Neodiprion lecontei: one gene and its partners. The protein of the gene in region 1 interacts with the protein of each later gene in a biochemical or structural test. Links are inferred from orthologs where the notes say so. Each region holds a gene or a part of one and is shown in the gene's direction. Other genes may lie near its edges.

Region 1 (7,313 bases):
TACGAGCACGAAGTAATACTACAAGGCACCTTCTTATTTTCAGAAGTGCGAGGTATTAAGTCCACGCAGTTTTCTATGTTACGTGAAATGTGTATCGTACAATAACGATCATTAACGCTTAAGCCTCTCGCTAACCAGTCTTCGGTCCGAAACAAAATGCGAGTTCAATTTTATACAAATTATGTGACAAAGACTGGCGATGCAGCTGATGTGAGAAAATGGGATGCATTGCCACATAATTCGTATAGAATCGCAGACAGCTTTTGTTTTGGGCCAAAAACAAATTAGCTGAAAGGTTAAGGCATTCGTGCATTTTACTATACACAAATCATTATTTGTGTATAGTATAATGTTAATTCTGGTTTTACATATCACTGAAATGGGGGTTCAAGAGATTTTTAAAATGAAATTCCAAAATCATTTAATAATCATTCTAATATACCCATTTTTGGTGCTTATTCCAATTATAAATAACAAAAAGATTTTAATGCACTATTTGTTATTTTAATACATCCCATGTTTCGATTCATTCAGTTTTACGATGAACACATACGGAAATTGATTGGCGTCGCGCTATGGGCTGAAATTCTGATTCATTGCGATCGTAATCGATTGCGGACGAAAAGTAGCTTTTGCAGAATCAATTTCCTTATGTGTACGGTATATTCTACGTATTAGGTAGTACCAACCAGACTTGTTCTCTCTTGGCATTCCCGTCTACTCCAGATTGTTCGTGAGATTTCCACTCATTGCAGTCAGAGATCTTACGCAGATTTTCTTGCCATATTATTCGAGCACACCTCACTATGAACGTTCGTTAAACTCGGTACTTGTGGATTATAGGTATATATTCGGAAACTTTAAAGAGATCAATCACTTACATACAAATATTATCGCATTGATTACATAATGGTAATTTCACTACCGTTAAATTTACTAACAGTTAAAGCATTTGAAAATACTGAACGCGTCAGGGTTGAATTACGCACGTCCGAACTTGTTGACGTTCGATCGTTCGCTATTATCAAGTGCCACTTCGGGAAAACTCGAGCGCTCGGCGTTCTTCGTAAACCGGAATATGTCCGGAATAGTTCATCACTGCAGATCCAGAAAATGACAATAAATAATACAAACAATCAGTTATAGAATATATTCGTAATGTTTTCTCCAATATGATTTGATCGGTTTTAATTGCTTGTGGTTGCTAGAACGGAAAATTGATTTTCTGAAGTTAAAAATATTTTTATGTCCACAAAAATTTTCAGTTTTACTACCAAGACGAATGAAAAATCGACGGTCTAATCTATTTTGTTCTTATTTAACATCCATTCTTAGTTACACGTAAAATTTTAAAAAATTTTTTCAAAATTTAGATGACCTAGCCAGTTAGCCATTCTAGTCCTTTTTTTAGAAAGACAACAAATCGACTACTTTGTAGTTCTTCAGAGGAAGTCCCCCACAAATAGGATTTGCGATATGTGCACATATAGGGACTTCTTGACTCATGTGAGTTTCGCACTCGCCTTCGGTCCGTGCGGTACTTTACGCTCTTCAAAAAATCCCTACTTTAAGCGCACATTCCACGAAAGTAAATATTTCCCACTACCACACAATAGATTTATATTGAAATTGCGTTACAATTCAAACATAATAAAATAAAAATGATCGATCCGCAGACACATATTCATAACAATAGAATCGATAATTCGGATTAATTTTCTCATCAGGCAGTACGTTTTTATTGCGAAATTTGGATTTCCCTCATCTCCGGCAATCCACCACCACAGAGTGCAAACAGCATACTGATAGATTGTTCATAGTTCATTGTTATCTTGGGCTTGAACTGTATTCTCTACATTTTCAATTTCCCCACCAGATGACACGGCTGTTGCAGAAGTGAAATGAGGAACTTTAGTGAAATGTAGCATCACTATACACCATGGTGGCGTATCAATTTCCCGCCAATTTTACTTGCCCGTTAATTAATAACAATACTTGCTTTCATACATTTATAATTGATAATTTACAAATTTGAGTATTATTTTTTAACATGGACGTAGCTGACGCGCTCGTAGGTCAGTTGAGAGTGAAGGATGAGGTCGCAATACAATGCCAAAAGTTATTTCAGGATTTCCTCGAGGAGTAAGTAACCTAAAATAAATTGACCAAAACAAACATTAGCCGGTGAACACTTGAGAAGTGAATTATTTTAAGAACCGTTAGTTACGACAATATCTCAAACTGTCTCAATCAGCTTATTTTTATCCTTTAACTTGATCCACAGATTCAAAGCAGATGGGGAAATCAAGTACTTGGAACCAGCAAAAGAACTTGTCAGTCCTGAACGAAGCACATTGGAAGTTTCATTTGATGATATTGAACGGTACAATCAAACTCTCGCAACAACAATTATTGAAGAATACTACAGGTAACTATTCTGAGTAAAGCATTTTTACATACGTATCAATACCTAAGAGCTTGAAAGTTTTTTAAACTCGGTTGTTGTGTGTATTTACAGAATTTACCCATACCTCTGTCAGGCAGTTTGCAACTATGTTAAAGACAGAGGTAACTTGACAAAAGATAAGGAATGCTATGTTAGTTTAATAGATGTGCCGACGAGGCACAAAGTAAGAGAATTGACAGCAGTGAAAATCGGCACCTTAATACGTATATCTGGTCAGGTTGTAAGGACACATCCTGTTCATCCAGAGTTGATTCTTGGGACATTTGTTTGTCAGGATTGTAATACTGTAATCAAGAACGTAGAGCAGCAGTTTAAAGTTAGTGAGGAATGAACACTAGCCTTGTGTTGTAAATTGAAAAGCACCGTTACTTAATGTGTTACTTTTCGCAGTTTACAAATCCTACTATTTGTCGCAATCCAGTGTGCAACAATAGGCGTAATTTTTTGCTCGACGTCGACAACTCGATCTTCATTGATTTTCAAAAAGTTAGAATTCAGGAAACCCAGGCAGAGCTGCCTAGGGGCTGCATCCCACGATCCCTTGAAATCATCTTACGAGCAGAAACTGTTGAAATGGTGCAGCCTGGGGACAGGTCTGTTTCCTTAATAGCAATTTACTCTGACAAATTTTTCTTGTGTTAAAGTTAAACCAACCTATTCTAAGGACTGGTTTGGGATTTCAACTGTTCATATTAACAATAATAATAATTACTTGAGATGTATTAGTAGATGAATTTCAGTTTGTTATGGAAATAAGATTTGATCCAGTCAACATTGAATAACTTTCACTTTTGCATTCAGATACGATTTCACTGGCACGCTTATAGTTGTGCCAGATGTGGGTGCTTTGTCACTACCTGGAGCAAAGGCTGAATTTGGATCAAGACATAAGCATGGAGATCCTTCAATCGAGGGAGTGCGAGGTCTGAAATCACTAGGCGTTAGAGATTTGACTTATAGAATGTCATTTCTGGCTTGTAGTATAACGTCTACTACTTCGCGAGTAAGTGTTGAATTTTGTGAATGCAGATAATAAAAGTATAAGAATTTTTTCTATCTAAAACTGATTCGGCTGCTAGTTTGGTGGAACGGATATGGGAATGGAGGAAATCACGCAGGAGATGATGAAGAGACAAATGTCTGACGCAGAGTGGAATAAAGTTTATGAAATGAGTCGAGACAAGAATCTCTACCAAAATCTAATATCTAGTTTGTTCCCATCCGTCCATGGAAACGATGAAGTGAAAAAAGGAATTACCTTAATGCTGTTTGGTGGAGTTCCCAAGACAACGATAGAGGGAACATCACTGAGAGGAGACATTAACTGCTGTATTGTCGGCGATCCCAGCACAGCAAAATCTCAATTTCTAAAACAAGTCGCGGATTTTTCACCAAGAGCAATTTATACCTCAGGAAAAGCTTCCAGTGCCGCTGGTTTGACGGCTGCTGTAGTCAGGGATGAAGAGTCCTCTGACTTTGTTATCGAAGCTGGAGCCTTGATGCTCGCGGATAATGGAATTTGTTGCATCGATGAGTTTGACAAAATGGATCCTAGAGATCAAGTCGCAATTCACGAAGCCATGGAGCAACAGACAATATCGATAGCCAAGGTAGAATATGGTTTTCTTTTTATCTGCGATTCTTAATTTATTTTTACGTCTTTTACTATGATTTAATTTACTTCTATAGGCCGGTGTCAGAGCGACGTTGAATGCACGAACGTCTATCTTGGCTGCAGCGAATCCAATTGGTGGACGTTACGACAGGTCGAAATCCTTACAACAGAACGTATATCTGACAGCCCCTATAATGTCTCGTTTCGATTTATTTTTTATTCTGATTGACGAGTGCAATGAAATTGTTGATAACGCTATAGCCAGAAAAATTATTGATCTGCACAGTAACAATGTGATTACCATCGAATGTATCTATACTCAAGAGGAAATTTTGCGATATATTAATTTTGCAAAGCATTTCAAACCGATTATCAATCAGGTAATGTGTTGATACTACGAAATATGAGTTATATCATTTTCGTTACTCGTTGCTATTTTCTAGCCACAATATATGCGTATGATCGTAAAAAAAAAATTTTTGGGACATTTAACAATTTGCTATTCAATAATTAACAGGAAGCAGCAGAGTTATTGATAGAGGTCTATACTACCTTACGACAAAGAGAAGGGGGCAGTTCAGGAAAATCTACTTGGCGAGTCACTGTGCGTCAGTTGGAAAGTCTCGTACGGTTATCAGAGGCACTGGCAAAGCTGGAATGTGGAGATGAAGTCACAACGAGACACGTGAAGGAAGCGAAAAGATTATTAAGCAAGAGTATCATCAGAGTCGAACAACCAGATGTCGATCTTGATGAAGATAATAATTATCCAAATGGCCAAGATGGTATGAGAATGGATATCGATGACGCGCCTCCTCTAATGGCTGCACTCAATGATTTGGATAATGGTGAAGCTACTAACATCGATGATTCCGGTAAATTTGGGTACCCCCTGTCAAAATGGGTGGAATGCTTCCTTTCTGGAATGTTAAAATGAACTTATGCTAACATTTCTGGAGTACTTAAGGGGTAACACCACCGCAAAACTCTAAAAAATTCGCCATTTTTTTGGATAGAAGAAAGGGTAATAAGATCATAATATTTTAGGAAGTTATTAGGCATAAATATAATACAAAAAATTATTATCAACAAATATTCAAAAATGTCAACACTGAAGCCATTCTCGCGAGTGGTGTAAATTTGAATCTGGAAGAAAATGATAAAAAATCTACACCTTTATAGCCAGAGAAATAGGTATGGGATTTTAAAAATAATGATTTTTGCGTGATTTGCGAGTATATGAATAAAAGACGTCAGATTTTTGACAAAAAAGGGTAATCATTTGTTAATAAAACACACGAAAAAAATAAGTTAAAATGGATTAAAATCGTCTAGCTGAATATATTTCTCGATCAATATTTTATCATATACTAGATCAAATCGAGTAGTTGTGTATATTTCGATATCAATGTATTAAAATATTAATATTGAAATATACTCAGCTACTTCATCTCATCCCTGTAAAAATGATAGTTTTCGGGTTATGTACAGTTTATGCCAAGATATCGGAAGACATTAATATGGCCCAACCTTATCATAAGTACTCCAAAACTGATAGCCTAAGTTCATTTCATCTCTCCGGAAGAGGCGCATTTTACCTATCTCACGGGTTTTATATATTTTTTTTTTTTTTCACTTTATACCTATATTACTCTTTATCGCCATTCTTGTAACCAGTTACGGACATCTATTTTTGTTTTACACAATTATTTGGTTATCGCAGGCATGGTTAGAACAATTAGGCTATCAAAATTTGGATTGAATATTTTTGTATTCCAGAAACCACGAAGGGAATCTCACAACCTTCGCAAGAACCTGTTAAAAAGAAACTGACCCTTTCCTTTGAGGAGTATAAAAATCTCTCAAATATGTTGGTCGTCTATATGCGGACAGAAGAGAATCGAATTGAAAGTGAAGGTTGGTACATTATTTTGAGGAAGCATTTGCTACTCAATTGCAACAACAATAATGTTGATAAAAAATTGTAAAATTATTTTCGTATGCAGTGTCAAAAATGTCGAAGATATTTCAAACCTTTCTAGGGATGATACTACTGAACTTTTTTTCCATATAGATGGAGACAAGGAGGGAATCAGGAAATCGGAATTGGTTGCTTGGTATCTCGATAAAGTTCAAGAGCAAATTGAATCTGAAGATGAATTATTGGAGCGAAAAGGCCTCATTGAAAAAATTATCGACCGGCTTATGTATCATGTATGTTTCTTCTTTACACATATTGCGTATCTGCCTACGGAAAAAAAGAATAAAAACAACAATGACTAATGTGATACAATAAAACTTTATATTATAGGACCAAATCATAATTCCTCTGACGACAGCGAATCTGGCATCTAGAGGCAAGCACCGTGAAGAAGAAGAGGAAGAAGATCCCTTGCTTGTCGTACATCCAAATTATATTCTCGACCCTTGATATTTATTCACAGTAATAGCCAAGAAAAGCGACTGCATTCAAACTTTCATAACGTACCTTAAAATTGCTATGTATTCCTAGACCAAGAAGTGATGGTCGTTCAAATAAGTATTTGATTTCGTGCCTTCTGAGCGGCAATACAAATGTACAAAATGTGCGACTCAAAAATTTCCAAACTATCATAATCTCCATCTACTACAGTAGTTTTACATTCATCCCAATTCACTATTGTTCAACTATTGATCTTTTATACAATTTATAAAAATTTACAAAAACGGATTTTTTACAAAATGTATCGTGTGTACTTCATTACATTTAATCCTAGTCGAACGAATCTACTAAAACATTATGCTCGTACAAATCAGAGCCTTGACCTGCCTACAGTTTTCATACGAGCATTGTTTTTATCGTCCAATTAGCGAAGCTGTATTAATACTGACAATGAGTCTAAACAATCGGTGTACGGTGATCCAATTGCTGGGCGAGTTAAGAGCGCTGAACCGGCTGAACAAAGGTTTAATTCAAAATTTCAGGGCTACGAAACTGCTTATATTCGTTTACGAGAAATATTGCGGTGTATTTTAAATTTATTGAGTACCAACCGCTTAATTTTTTCGTCTTTACCGGAATGATCTAAATTCAGTTCCGCAGAGTGTTTAAGTATGCAAGGAGTAAAGTTTCATAAGCCGGTTCATATATTTAAAAAAAACTTTGTATTCAGTTCATCGTGTAATGTGGTAGGGTATTTAAACGCATTTACGTAAGATATCGACAGCCACCACTTGCATAACTAAAATACG
Region 2 (6,385 bases), on another chromosome or scaffold:
GGATTCCAATGTATATTCAACCTTCATAACACTAGAATGAATGATCTGGCTTCTCTCCAATTTACTCGTTGTCAGCCCTTCGTCTAAAACAATTTTTTAATTGTTCGTTCGTTTTTTGACCACAATGAGAAAAATGTATCGAATTCGCGTTAATGAGGTTCGACCAACTATTAAGTAGCATTTTTTGTAGTTATTTTATACATTCGGGTGGTCCATATTTAGGGCTCGGACGAATTTTTCATCATTCGCCCTCCAAATCGGCTCGAAATAATTTAAAAGCAATTTCCTAATTTTTTCAGATTTTGATATCAACTCTAATCCCTGTTTGTAAGCGGGTGAATTTCCGTATTCATATACACGTGTTTTGACTATATTCTCAGTATATATTTTATTGCAAGAGTAATATTGGCATTGTCACTACTATCTGATACAAAATTCACATCATACCAGGCAATCTAGACGAATCTGACTTTTTTTGGCATTTAGTGAATGTGCAATTAAAGTTTATATCGGACAAGATTTGGAGTACCAGAATGTACCCAAACAAAATCTTCAGTCAACGCTAATGGTACTAGCAACGTAGCATCATAAACATATATGAATATTTAATACGTAAATAAATAATTTTGTAATAAAAAATTATTTTTGTATTATTTAATAGTCGATTGAACACTCTTAAAAGTTTCATAAGGATATGCTTTGTTTTGGCTAAGAAAAATACTCTGAAATTTCAGTGTTTTTTCGGTCTTTTAAGTGTATGTTAAGCCCTTTTTCGCGTTTGAGATACGTGGACTTTGATATTTTGAGATATATAAGTCAGCGTCGAAATCGACCAGGGAACCCCCCTCAGGCATGTCTTGTTACAAACATGGTTGACTTCGCTATATTTCCGCCGTTGACTCAGCTGTACGGGTCTGGCTACGACGATCAGTTTTAATTACGTGCCCAATGGGAATATTGCGATTTCCTAGAGTGACTATAGTAAATATTTAGTATCACAACAATTCAGGCAATGTTGCGTTTGCGATAAACACTCAGCTGGAAACGTATGTGTTCTGTAGCAATAAAGTGTTGCAGTAACCAAGATAGACAGAAAATATTGCTGACCGAACCAGAATTCTTGTTGAGTGGTGGAAACGCTTTTTTCAGTGTAAATATATTTTGAACTGCGAAATTTAGCAACCAATGGCAATTTTGACTTTGGTTTTTACATATTTTTCATTTTGTGGGTGTAGCAGGAACGTAGCAGGTTTGTCACGAGGCGCTAACTTGCATCAAGCTTCACGTAAGAGGAAATCTTGTTATCGTGGCTAGCAGAAATGGAACGTTGTACAAAATACCTAGTCGAGTTTTCTGGGGCTCCGATGATTAATTAGAAGATCGACAAGCTTCTATTCAAAGTGATAAACCGCTCTGCCGTTAATTAAACGCCCCCTCCTCTTAAGTCTGACGAAAATTTTTTATTGGATGTTCATTCTTCAGCTACTAAAAAAAAATAGTAAAGGTGATCGAGGCACAAAACAGGGTAATAAAATTGAAATTGAAGACCGGGCGGTTGAAGGAGGGAACTGATTGTAAGACACCAGAAAGTTTGAGTGCGAAATTGGATGCGACAAAGTATTAGAGAGTAAAAAAGCAGTGTTGAGGACAATTTTAGAAAATTCGAGACGCTAACTGCGACGCAGGTAGTCCGAACCAAGTTCGAACCACGTTCACAACTAGAAGTAGAACCAACGCCGCGCCCTCCGAACAAATTTTTGGAACTAATTTATTATTACAGAAACATGTCGGTATCGTATTCCCGAACGTCGTATCGTGGCATCAGTAGTGTTATTTATTGTCAGTAAAGAAAGTAAATGTGGACGGGTTACCGACATTCGTTCCCTGTCGAAAAATTAGTTCCAAAACTTCACTTTGTTCCAGAGGGCGACAGATCTCGGAGAATACACGAAACGTGAATATCGGGCTTTTTCCCCACAATTTGGCGCCAAAAGTAGTCAAGCACGACAAAGCACGGTGGACGGATTCTCAGCGGCCGACTTCATACAACAGCAAGCTGTAGCATTACGGCGATTATTATTATTTGTCCTCATTTATTCATCTGGAAACTTGAACGCATCGCATAGCATTCGATCGAAGAAGTCAGCATGACCGGTGAGTGTACTGCGCAAATTTTAGCGAATATTCTATCCTAACCCATTTATGTAAAACGGCGTCAATATCTCATGAGAATTGTACCGGTTTAACCCTCAGCTCACCGTCTGATCACTGTCTCATATTTTTCCCACCAGCAAATAACATCGTCGACTGGACCCCGGATTTTTTTTTGGCAAACGAAGCCAAATGTCGCCTTGTACTAAGTGAAACTGCTAATCGACTGTCGGTGCCATCCCTTAACTCCCTACCCTTACACTCGTTTAAGGATAAGCAATTGGCCAGGTTCCGAGGAATGATTCAGGACACTTACAACCCTGAGTACTACCTTGATCGATTTCAAATTCGCAATGTTGCCACTAATGAGACGACAACCTGCCGCGGGCGGTACAGAGATACATTGGACTCCTTGGTACGTATCAACGTCAGTTCTCCAAATCTCATGTGGCCTTGTGCGCTTTATAATCGGCGGAGATCTCATGTAACGTCATAGGTACCTGATATTTTCGTTGTGAATTAAAGCTTACCGTACTGTCAACGTCTTTGTTGGCCGAAATGGTAGTCAAAAGATGGCCTACAGTAAATGATGATTAGCAGTTACAGGTGCGAGCGGCTACAAGTGTTGTTCGCTTCGTGTATAATACTGCCTACAATGCAATACATTTTTTCTTAGTATTTTCAAAGCTGCCGTACACCATAGTAATGACAGTCACTTTGACGTGAACTGCACTGATTTGCATTCTCGTTGTATTCGTTCATTTGTTTGTTTCCTTACCAGCCAGGTGAAACTGTGATCGTTGACTCCAAAGAGAATGTCAATGCTGAACGGCAGACATGTTTTGTTATATCAGTTCCTGGCGTCAACAGTTGGGCAAAGGAAAAGTGTACAGTGCGCGAAAATGCACCTCAAGTCTCAACTAACACTGCCACCAAGCGTTCACTAGAATCTGAAGAAATGGAATGTGTAGAATTCAGTAGCAAAAAACACACACAAACAACCCCGAGCTCAGGTAATGGCGAACCACGCTTGCTGTCCAGAGAACATGCAATGAATTTCCCCCTTCCCAATGACGATGGTAAAGCCTGCATCGTGAAGGTGTGTCTGTATTGCAACGTCTACAATTAATTGTTCACTTTTGTTTATCTTTCGTGACAATTCAAGTTTGTAGAATTCACTCGAAAATCACTTTGAAATTCACGTTCTGTTTACTGTATGAAAGGTATTGGAGAGGCTGATTCGCTCTAGCTGAAAAGTTTATTTAGTTAGAATTTGAAATACCTATGCCGCTCTTTTAACTTTACAGATATATGATGAAACGTCGTTCAAATTGAACCAGATCATCGACATTGTAGGCTTCATATCCTTAGACCCAGCTTTGAGCGTTGCTCATGATCCAGACAAGTTGATGGATGACATCGAATTTCAGTCTCACAATCCACCCGTGTCGCTGATACCTCGATTGCACGCGATCGATGTCAAGGACGTGTCTATGGAGGAGGTTCCACAAACTATCCAAGGTGATTTAACCTTTCCCGTTACCACACGGAGTGACCTGAAGCTAGTGTTGAGTCAGATTCTATTTGGAGATGTCTTAGCGGCCGAATATGTCATATGCCACCTAATATCTTCCATGTAAGTTTTTGGCAATTTTTAGTTTCATATTAAAAATTACAGTTGTATCCTAAATTATCTTAGTTGTATATTTAAGATGTAAAATAGGTATTCTACTTTAGCCAGACGAACAGAAACCAAGCTGATGTCTTAGAACACCACTATTTATTTTCACAGCTATTTGAGACGGGACTTTCTATCCCTTGGTGCGTTTCCATTGAACATAACGAATTTGCCTCTCGATAAGTGCAAGACTTTTCCAGAAGATTTTTATGGAATATTATCATTGTTGCTGCCGAAAAGTCACCTCATTGGCATGACTTTGGATGAACTTAACAACCTGAATCTGCAGCCCAAGTACGTGTACTTTCCCAATGAGAAATTATTTATTCATTTATTGATACTCAAATTACATCAAGAATTTTATATTGGACAATTTGGGATTAACCGGGCTCATTCTTCATGTTGTTTCAGAAAAGACTACGACTGCAACAGATTGACTAGCGGGGTGTTGCAGCTCAGCGATAATACGCATCTTGTATTAGATGAAACAAAGCTGACCGACGGTCAGGTTTCGGCAAACGGGAGGAAAAATTATGAAGCTTTCTCCACGTTGATTAATTCCCAGACGGTTACCTATGACTTCAAGTATTACACAATGGATTTTCCGGCTGACATACCCGTTCTGATACTGTCGGAATCAAAGTCTATGATTCCTGTAAGTTTCTTGACATTTCACACATCTCCACAGTCTCCAGAATATTCTTTTTTCGTTCAAGTGCCGATTGAGCAGCTGACTCAATGAATGATATTTAATTTGATTCTCAGAGGAAAGTCATATTTCTCGTAATGGTAAAAACAAAAATCTGCTTCGTACTTTCGTGTACGGTTGTTTTGCATGAACTTAACAGTTTCAGCTAGATACGAAGAATATTTAGTGCAATTTTCAGTTAACATCTTATTTTCTTTTTCCATCTTCACGAATTTCAGTGTTATAGGCAAATCGTGTTGGAAAAGAATTCAAACAGTGAGAATATCTATTCGGAAACCCTGGAAGCAGTCAGGCATTATTTGAGGGATGAAACCAGGATATATAACATTCGAAACTGGTTGAGGGTATCGAGGCGACGCGACATCGCAATCGAAACCGAGAATAGCATAGGAGACGTGAGTTTTGCACGGGATGTAGAGGATAAAAGAAATATTCCGATGAGTAAAACACATTTTTTCCCCTAATTTCGCAGGTAATCCAAAAGGATTTCGTTGAAATGCGTCAGTTGGACAAAAGTACATCAGCGGAGGATCTGCATTCGCTAATGGTTCTCGCTAGATTGATATCGATGTCGCACGGTATGGACAAATTGACCGTTGATTACTGGCACGAAGCCGTTAGAATGGAGAAGGAACGTAAACGCAGACTGCAGAGATAGCGCGTGCAGATGTGAAATGAGTCATCAGTTTTCCGAATATACTCGCGTATGAATTACACACAGCTTCCTAAATATGTATATGCCTTTTTTACAACTTCACCGAACCATCTCGGATTTGTTTTTTTTATTTTTATTTATTTCTCTTACCCAAACTAAATTCTGCCCTGTGTATACACAAACGGCGTTATAACGACTTCGAACCTCGAGGATCTTGGCTAGCGATCAAAAGCCATCAAGTTAATGATGGCTGGCAGGTAGATAAGCACTCTGTCTTGTCGACGTTAACAGCGAACAAACAGGATATCACACCTATCAATAAGTTATTCGTGGAGAGAAAATCCCCTGAAATGAATCAACAATATTATATGATTCAGTGGTGCAGAAGTGATATCTTCGATCCAAACGGTTCCCGTTGATACATACGGAGCTTGAACAAGCTAAAACTTGCGTAAGGCTACGACTGTGAGTAAAAAAAAGAAAAGAAATATTGTGAAATGTTTGACAGTCGAATTTGAAGATTGATTCTTATTTTTCATAATTCAAAATAACTGCAGGAATAGTTCAACTTTTACGTCATACTTATGTACGTATATCAGGCAATAAAGTTTGGATTCTTTATGTATCCATGTTTTAAAATTTCTTTTTCGATTCATTCTATCGAGGGGGAATTCGTAATGTAATTGAAATAAAGCGTGCTCGATTTTTCAGGCAAGTCCAGAACACATTGTACCCGGAAGCCGACAGAGAGTGATAGCGCGAACGTTCCGACAATGGAATTTAATGGAAATTTCAAATCCACGAGTAAACCGGACCAGGATGACCCGCGGGTCTCTCGGGGTAGGCTAATCTCTACGCTTAATATCCGCCTCGACGTCTTAACAACAACGAGCTCGTTGCCCTGATCAATTCCGCCTTTATGTCTTCGTCCTCCCCCGTATTCTCTATTAATCAACAAGTAATTGGTACTCTAGTCACGGAGGGACCCGTTCGATCTGATTGCTTCGAAATTAAAGGGATCGCCACCCCCGAGGCATATCGACAGACTCGCAATTAATGAACGCTCGGCTTTTCCTTCATTCCTTCAGTATTCGACAGTCGGCGCCTACGTCCGTCGCGCGCACAACGTCACACGATGCTCCCTCTCCTGGGACTCGGAGTGATCCTCTTCCGAACGAAATCTGCCTCTTGA
Region 3 (6,069 bases), on another chromosome or scaffold:
CAATTAGGCGTTGAAGTCAATACGTAAGTTTCAGAACGTTCTATGTTACAATTCACAAATTAATTCTTTTCAACAGTAATTCTAAAAGATTTTCTGCGCTCTAATAAATTAGGCTCACGGTCTTTATTTTATTCATTCGATTCATCACTATTAGCTATTATTACATGTATTTTCAATTTTCAGTATACAAAACCAAAAGAAAGAGGAAAAAATAGAAAGTTGCGAACATGCAGAAAGTAATGGGCATAATGTCGAAACTGGATCAACAGATGATGACAAGTCTAGTGAAGATTCTAAGGAGAGAGATAAACAGACAAAGAAGCTGAACAAGAAGAAACAGAAGAATAAAAGCAAACAGAAAGATATACAGCAGCTAAAAAAAGTTACGCGTGAACTCCGAATGAAAGCTATGTCAGATGGATTCAGTTCAGTTGATTTTAGTGCAGTACCTGTACATTATATCAACGATGTAGACATGGAAATTACCGCGGATGGTGAATCGTCGCGAAACTGTGAAGTTCTGGCGATAAACATGTTACAAAATAGTACAGACTTACAATCTGGGAAAAGAGTTTCACCTAAGAAAAGGTCGGCTTCAGAATCGCAAAATATACCCTTCAAAACTAGTAAAAAAAAAAAATGACATCTCTGAATAGATAAAATAAATATTGATATTTTTTTATACAATTAAGAGTTACAGCACACGCATAAGTCTTGTGCTCAATTTAATTTATGACGCTGTGCGCGCTTAAGGTAATCATTTACGGGACTCATGAAGTACATCTTTGTCACATTGAACCTGTTGAAACGTTCAAGCGGAGTAATAATAATCGGCTAACATTTTTCCCGATGTTGTACATTTTTATGTATTGTTTAAAAATATACAGTGTAATTAAAATTGTAGTAGCATTCCTAATTTGACCTGTCGGCGTATTGGAGTTACAAAATTGTTTCTGGTTTGACTTCCAACGCATAGATAATTCGTAACAGAACTTTTCAGCATTCCTTACTTACTCCGCATCCATCTCTTTCTCACCAGCTCAGCCGTATTCACAGATACGACAGGTACGAAAACTCCCATGGTGGTGGCAAGTCAGTTTCAGAAATGTCCCGCTAAAGTTGAAGCGCTGCAATCTAGAAGTAGTCGAACCCTTAGAGCATATCACTGATATATATATATCAGTGGGTTATACATTCTCATCAACCACCTCCGTGAAGTTGGCCCCCCGAAGTTGTTATTTTTAAATCTAATTAATGCAATTCGTTTGAGAATCGTTTGAGAGGGTTTGAGAGTAAAGAAAAATCGTTTGAGAGTTAGTAGTTTTTCCGGAAAATTGATTTTAATTTTGGGTGTGAAGTTGGCCCCCATATTTTCTCCAACTTCACGGAGGTTCATCAACCGACGCAACTTGACAATGAGAGCCAAGCGGTTTAAGTTAGATTTAAATATAGCCGAATGGCGCTTCGATCAGCAGATTCACCACCATAAGCAATCACATATCCCTAAGTATGTCTTCCTTCTGGAAGGGAGAGCCAAGTTGTGACTATGAAACGAGGACCCCTCTGAGATTCATGGAGCCTTCATCAAGGCGTCCTTCATCCTTGAGATAAGGAGAGACTATGAACACGGGTATACTACGATGTTAATTAAACTTTTCGGAGGTCGCGGATTTCTGAACACATGTACTCAAATGTGTCGATTATTCCATGAAAGTCGCAGTTCTATTCCATCAGGTAGCTTAAGATTGGCGCCAATATGCGAAGAGAATCCTTGTAGCATTAAATCTTGGTTGATCGTTACTTTTCAGATGGAATTTTTCCCTAAAAAAGTAGTCTGTGTAGTTGTCGGGACACTGAATTCTTGTGCGAAATTTTGACCATGAATATAGTATCTTCGGTTAATAATTCTGGTAACAACGTTGATGAAGGTGGTGCATCAAAATTGTCTTAATTATTTGTTTGCCTTTAACCATACAAGTATTACGTGTAAACGTAGTTTCAGTGATGGATCTTAAGCAAATGAATTTCTCTTTCCAACTCTAGAAAACGAGAAAGACAAAATTTCATATCTCATTCGAAAGCTGCCTGTTCTGGGAAACTTGTTTCACATACACGGTAAAATCGGGAAAGGGACATTCAGCTCTGTGTTTTTAGCCACTTTAAAGACATCCACAAACCAGCGTAAATTTGCCATCAAACATCTTGTGCCTACGTGTCATCCGAGGAGAATTGAACGTGAGCTACAATGTTTGCAGGACATAGGGTACACCTGTTTCTATTTCCTGCTATATCGATCGCCTGCTTTTCTTTCAAAATGTCTATGACACTGAAATTCTTTGCAGAGGTACCGATTATGTTGTTGAGTTGGACTTGTGTCTGCGGAGTGCAGAATGCATCGTGTTCGTAATGCCGTATATGAAGCATGATAGGTTCGCTGTACGTAAATTATATACAAACAAGTATAAACTTATGATTTGAAAATGACGTATAAATAGGTCTCTTTTAATAACGTTGTTTCACTTAATGAGAGTTAGTATTTTTAGGAATATGTTCACGACATGACCGTTGATGAGACTAGAAACTATATGAAAGCGCTGCTGGTTGCCCTGCGGCGAGTACATAAGTTTAATATTATACACCGGGATGTAAAACCTAGTAATTTCCTCTACAATCGTGCTATGAAACAGTGAGTTATTTATTTCAACATCTAAGTGTGTGATATAGTCATTAAAAATTCCTGGTATTTATGTGGCTTTTATTTGCTGTACATAAGATGTGTGTAAGAACTGGTCAAAAACTCGGTTCTATTGTTCTCAACATGTCAAGCTTGTGTTATCAAATTTTAGGTATCGACTAGTCGATTTTGGGCTAGCGCAGCAGTATACTACTGAAAGTAACACAAGTAGTCAGGCAGAAACATGTGTCATTGAATCTCAGCCAGGAAAAAGAAAAAGAAACGATGTGGTAGGAATGAACTTTTTTGATTGAAGCCAGTATAATTAAGCATGAACGGGTCACCATGTAAATCAACATTTAGAAGAAGATAAAAATCCATGTTAAAACCTCTAACAATGTTATTTGTCCCAGTAATGGTCTACACGTATGAAACGACACCCCTACCAAGCGATAGAACTGAATTTGAGCAAATTTAACCTACTTGAGCTTAGACGCCAACAATTTGAGAGAAGGTTTTATAATCAGAATGAATGAGCCAATACATAAATTCTGACAAAAATCGCCAAGATCTAGTCATTTTCAACGTTTCAACTATTAAACCTTTTCTCACATTGTCAACATCTTGTCGTGTGTTATTCGAATTTGCCCACATTTTTTTCAACTACATGGTGCCGATATAGTTTAATTCATCTTAATTATCATTCACGTGAATAACATTGCTGGAAATTTTTTAGATGGTTTTTTCTTCCTTCTTTTCCCAACTTTTGATTCAGGCAGCAGGACTATCTCATTTTTAATACGAAACGTATTGAGAAATCATGAAATTCAAGTTGGATATGTTAACGCAACGATCCATTTTTAGGAACAATCGTTATGTTACAATTTTAGGACAGTTTAATATCCAGTAAACCGTAATCAAGCAAAACCAATCTCACATTCTGAAAACTCGAAACCTTCAGTCATAGTGAAGTTGTAAATCAATAATTTTTTTTCAACTCTTCAACCTGTTTGTTATTTCTGTATTATCTTGACAATTATTATCAGTTATTTCTTAATTGGCAGAATGACGAGACAGGTCCTGTAAAAAATACTGGCAAGCCTATAGATGTGCAATGCATATGCTATGGAAAACCTCGAATATGTTCTATCTGCCTATCAAAATCTGCTCAAACTGCCCCTCGTGCTGGTACGCCTGGATTTAGAGCACCGGAGGTGCTACTCAAGTTCCCTTCGCAAACGTCAGGTGAACACATTCAATTCATCCTTCGTCAATCCTTTGACATGATTCTAAAAATTGGTCAGTCAAGTACCGAAAATAAAAATGAAACACCTTATTTTTAGCAATTGATATTTGGGCCAGCGGTGTCATAATGCTTTGCATCCTGAGTGGAACTCACCCTTTTTTTCGTTCGCCAGATGACTGCACAGCCTTGGCTGAGATAACAACAATCTTTGGTTCGACCAAAATGCAACAATGTGCCAAAAAATTGGGTACTTTGCTTTATTTTCCGTTTTACTGTTTAATTAATTCACATCATACTTTGATCTAAAACGACTAAACACAGAACCAAATAGCTGGATAGCACTTTTATTTATAATACAATAATTTTTTTTTATGCAGGTAGAAAACTTACATTTAGCGAAAACATACCTGGAATTGATATTAAGTTGCTTTGTCAAAAATTACAAAAGAGAAATAGCCTTCATCGAGAGGAGGATCCCAACACTAGTTGTAGTAACAAGAATCAGGTATTTTCAAATGTTATTTTTCATTATTTTCACTTTCTTTATTTAACGCCGATGTGCTTCATTCTTTTTCTGTTTATATCATTATTAACAGTTCTTTTTTTTTTTCTAATTTTAAGGAAAAAATTGATACTGCCTATCCTTCGGCAGCATATGATTTATTAATTAGGCTGCTCGATCCAGATCACTGTACAAGAATAACTGCGGAAGAAGCGATAAATCACACTTTTCTCGCAGACTAACCATTTGTATTTAATTACTTACGTGTCTCGTCAGAAATTCATTCTTGCAAATACTGTTACCTGATTTTAAACAACGAACATGTAATACGTTTCAACAATGTATAAAATTGGTCTCTAGTTGCCTGAGAATCACAGTGATGAAGTGTGATTTATACGATCTGCAAAGTTCATCTGATAATACGTGCCTTGTAAAACATCAATACAATTACGATGTGTTTGTTTGTTCAAATAATGTATATAGAGAATATTTTTATATTTATTATTAATATAAGTATTGACTTCTGTCGCGTACTATATAAATCAAAACTATACATAAGTTCGTTAAAATAAAAATTAATATATTTTATTTAAAATGCAAGTTTGCTAGTAATTTTAAAGAACAACTTTTCAAAAGTTGTCTTTTTGTATATAAAAGAGATGTATTGAATGGTTGAAAATTATTTAGCAATGTACTATCAATTTTGATATTTCGACAATTCCTATAACTCAATTTCGTCAGGTAAACACAATAGTCGTGTAGTAGGTATAAATATATTTTATTATAATATATTATCGAAATAAATACTGTACAAATTTTTTCCAACAATTTAAATTACAAAATTTTAACTTGCCAATATCCAAGTGCATTAATACTATGTTACAGTGTAAGTAAGAATGAACTTATAGAATTCTTAAGTATAAATCAAAATGATTGAACATTATCTAGTGCCAAAAATATTTTTAAGTACTTGAGTGCGTTCATCTAGAATCTTCAGAACAATGAATGATGATGTATGAAAATGTTGTGATATCAATAATAACTAAAATAATTTCTGATGTAAGAAAACGTCACACAGTTCCCACGAAAATAAAAACAAATGCATGTATGGATATAGAAAAACAAAATACAGGAACTTTTTTTGTGTCGTAATGATAATATCTGGGCAAATTGAAGACTGATTAGCAAGTAATCATGAATCGTGATCTGGTAAGTAACGAAACATGTGTAAAATAGCTTATAACACAAAGACTTTGTATAAAGTGCAGACTATTCGACAGCGGCAGAATCATCCAGATTGATATTACTAACGCCTTGAAGGTCTTCAATGTTTTTCTTAATCAATTCCCACTTGGCAGCAGTTTCCAAAGCCTTAGCGGCTAATTCCCGTATCGTCTTGTCCTCAACGGCCTCGGTTTTAGTCAGCGCCATTAAAATCTCCATGACGTCAGTCTCAATCAATTTAGCGGCGACATCCTTGGTGCTGGATATCATATTAAGCACCACAACGACGCCTCTGTGCTGGATACTCTTGTTCGGATTAGCCAGAAGGTAGTGAATAGACTCGAGCCAATTTTTCGAGTCGAATATCTTAGCGCAAGCTTTGGTGCTGTTTGCGGTCAGCATTGCCAGAGCACCAGCAGCAGC

What was found.
Region 2: the proteins of DNA replication licensing factor Mcm6 (region 1) and mini-chromosome maintenance complex-binding protein form a complex in vitro, tested with the Homo sapiens proteins (2 studies listed by BioGRID). The link is inferred for Neodiprion lecontei from reciprocal best matches to the Homo sapiens genes MCM6 and MCMBP.
Region 3: of the proteins of DNA replication licensing factor Mcm6 (region 1) and cell division cycle 7-related protein kinase, one has a biochemical effect on the other in vitro, tested with the Homo sapiens proteins (2 studies listed by BioGRID). The link is inferred for Neodiprion lecontei from reciprocal best matches to the Homo sapiens genes MCM6 and CDC7.

What each region holds. Positions count from the first base shown.
Region 1 is NC_060260.1:9,286,123-9,293,435, forward strand, and holds DNA replication licensing factor Mcm6, read left to right. Parts: upstream 1-1,925; 5' UTR 1,926-2,050; coding exon 2,051-2,142; intron 2,143-2,284; coding exon 2,285-2,428; intron 2,429-2,518; coding exon 2,519-2,783; intron 2,784-2,857; coding exon 2,858-3,060; intron 3,061-3,268; coding exon 3,269-3,470; intron 3,471-3,546; coding exon 3,547-4,077; intron 4,078-4,156; coding exon 4,157-4,462; intron 4,463-4,599; coding exon 4,600-4,957; intron 4,958-5,861; coding exon 5,862-5,999; intron 6,000-6,156; coding exon 6,157-6,296; intron 6,297-6,393; coding exon 6,394-6,513; 3' UTR 6,514-6,804; downstream 6,805-7,313. UniProt on the Homo sapiens protein: Acts as a component of the MCM2-7 complex (MCM complex) which is the replicative helicase essential for 'once per cell cycle' DNA replication initiation and elongation in eukaryotic cells.
Region 2 is NC_060263.1:15,366,684-15,373,068, forward strand, and holds mini-chromosome maintenance complex-binding protein, read left to right. Parts: upstream 1-1,923; 5' UTR 1,924-2,147; coding exon 2,148-2,154; intron 2,155-2,291; coding exon 2,292-2,566; intron 2,567-2,932; coding exon 2,933-3,250; intron 3,251-3,458; coding exon 3,459-3,787; intron 3,788-3,943; coding exon 3,944-4,123; intron 4,124-4,240; coding exon 4,241-4,484; intron 4,485-4,756; coding exon 4,757-4,933; intron 4,934-5,010; coding exon 5,011-5,196; 3' UTR 5,197-5,818; downstream 5,819-6,385. UniProt on the Homo sapiens protein: Associated component of the MCM complex that acts as a regulator of DNA replication.
Region 3 is NC_060261.1:17,271,171-17,277,239, forward strand, and holds cell division cycle 7-related protein kinase, read left to right. Parts: upstream 1-1,662; 5' UTR 1,663-1,879; coding exon 1,880-1,928; intron 1,929-2,043; coding exon 2,044-2,263; intron 2,264-2,342; coding exon 2,343-2,436; intron 2,437-2,543; coding exon 2,544-2,686; intron 2,687-2,846; coding exon 2,847-2,964; intron 2,965-3,738; coding exon 3,739-3,919; intron 3,920-4,017; coding exon 4,018-4,167; intron 4,168-4,297; coding exon 4,298-4,425; intron 4,426-4,541; coding exon 4,542-4,664; 3' UTR 4,665-5,502; downstream 5,503-6,069. Other genes in the region: myb-binding protein 1A-like protein, read left to right, coding at 1-23, 184-643; protein unc-45 homolog B, read right to left, coding at 5,692-6,069. UniProt on the Homo sapiens protein: Kinase involved in initiation of DNA replication. Phosphorylates critical substrates that regulate the G1/S phase transition and initiation of DNA replication, such as MCM proteins and CLASPIN.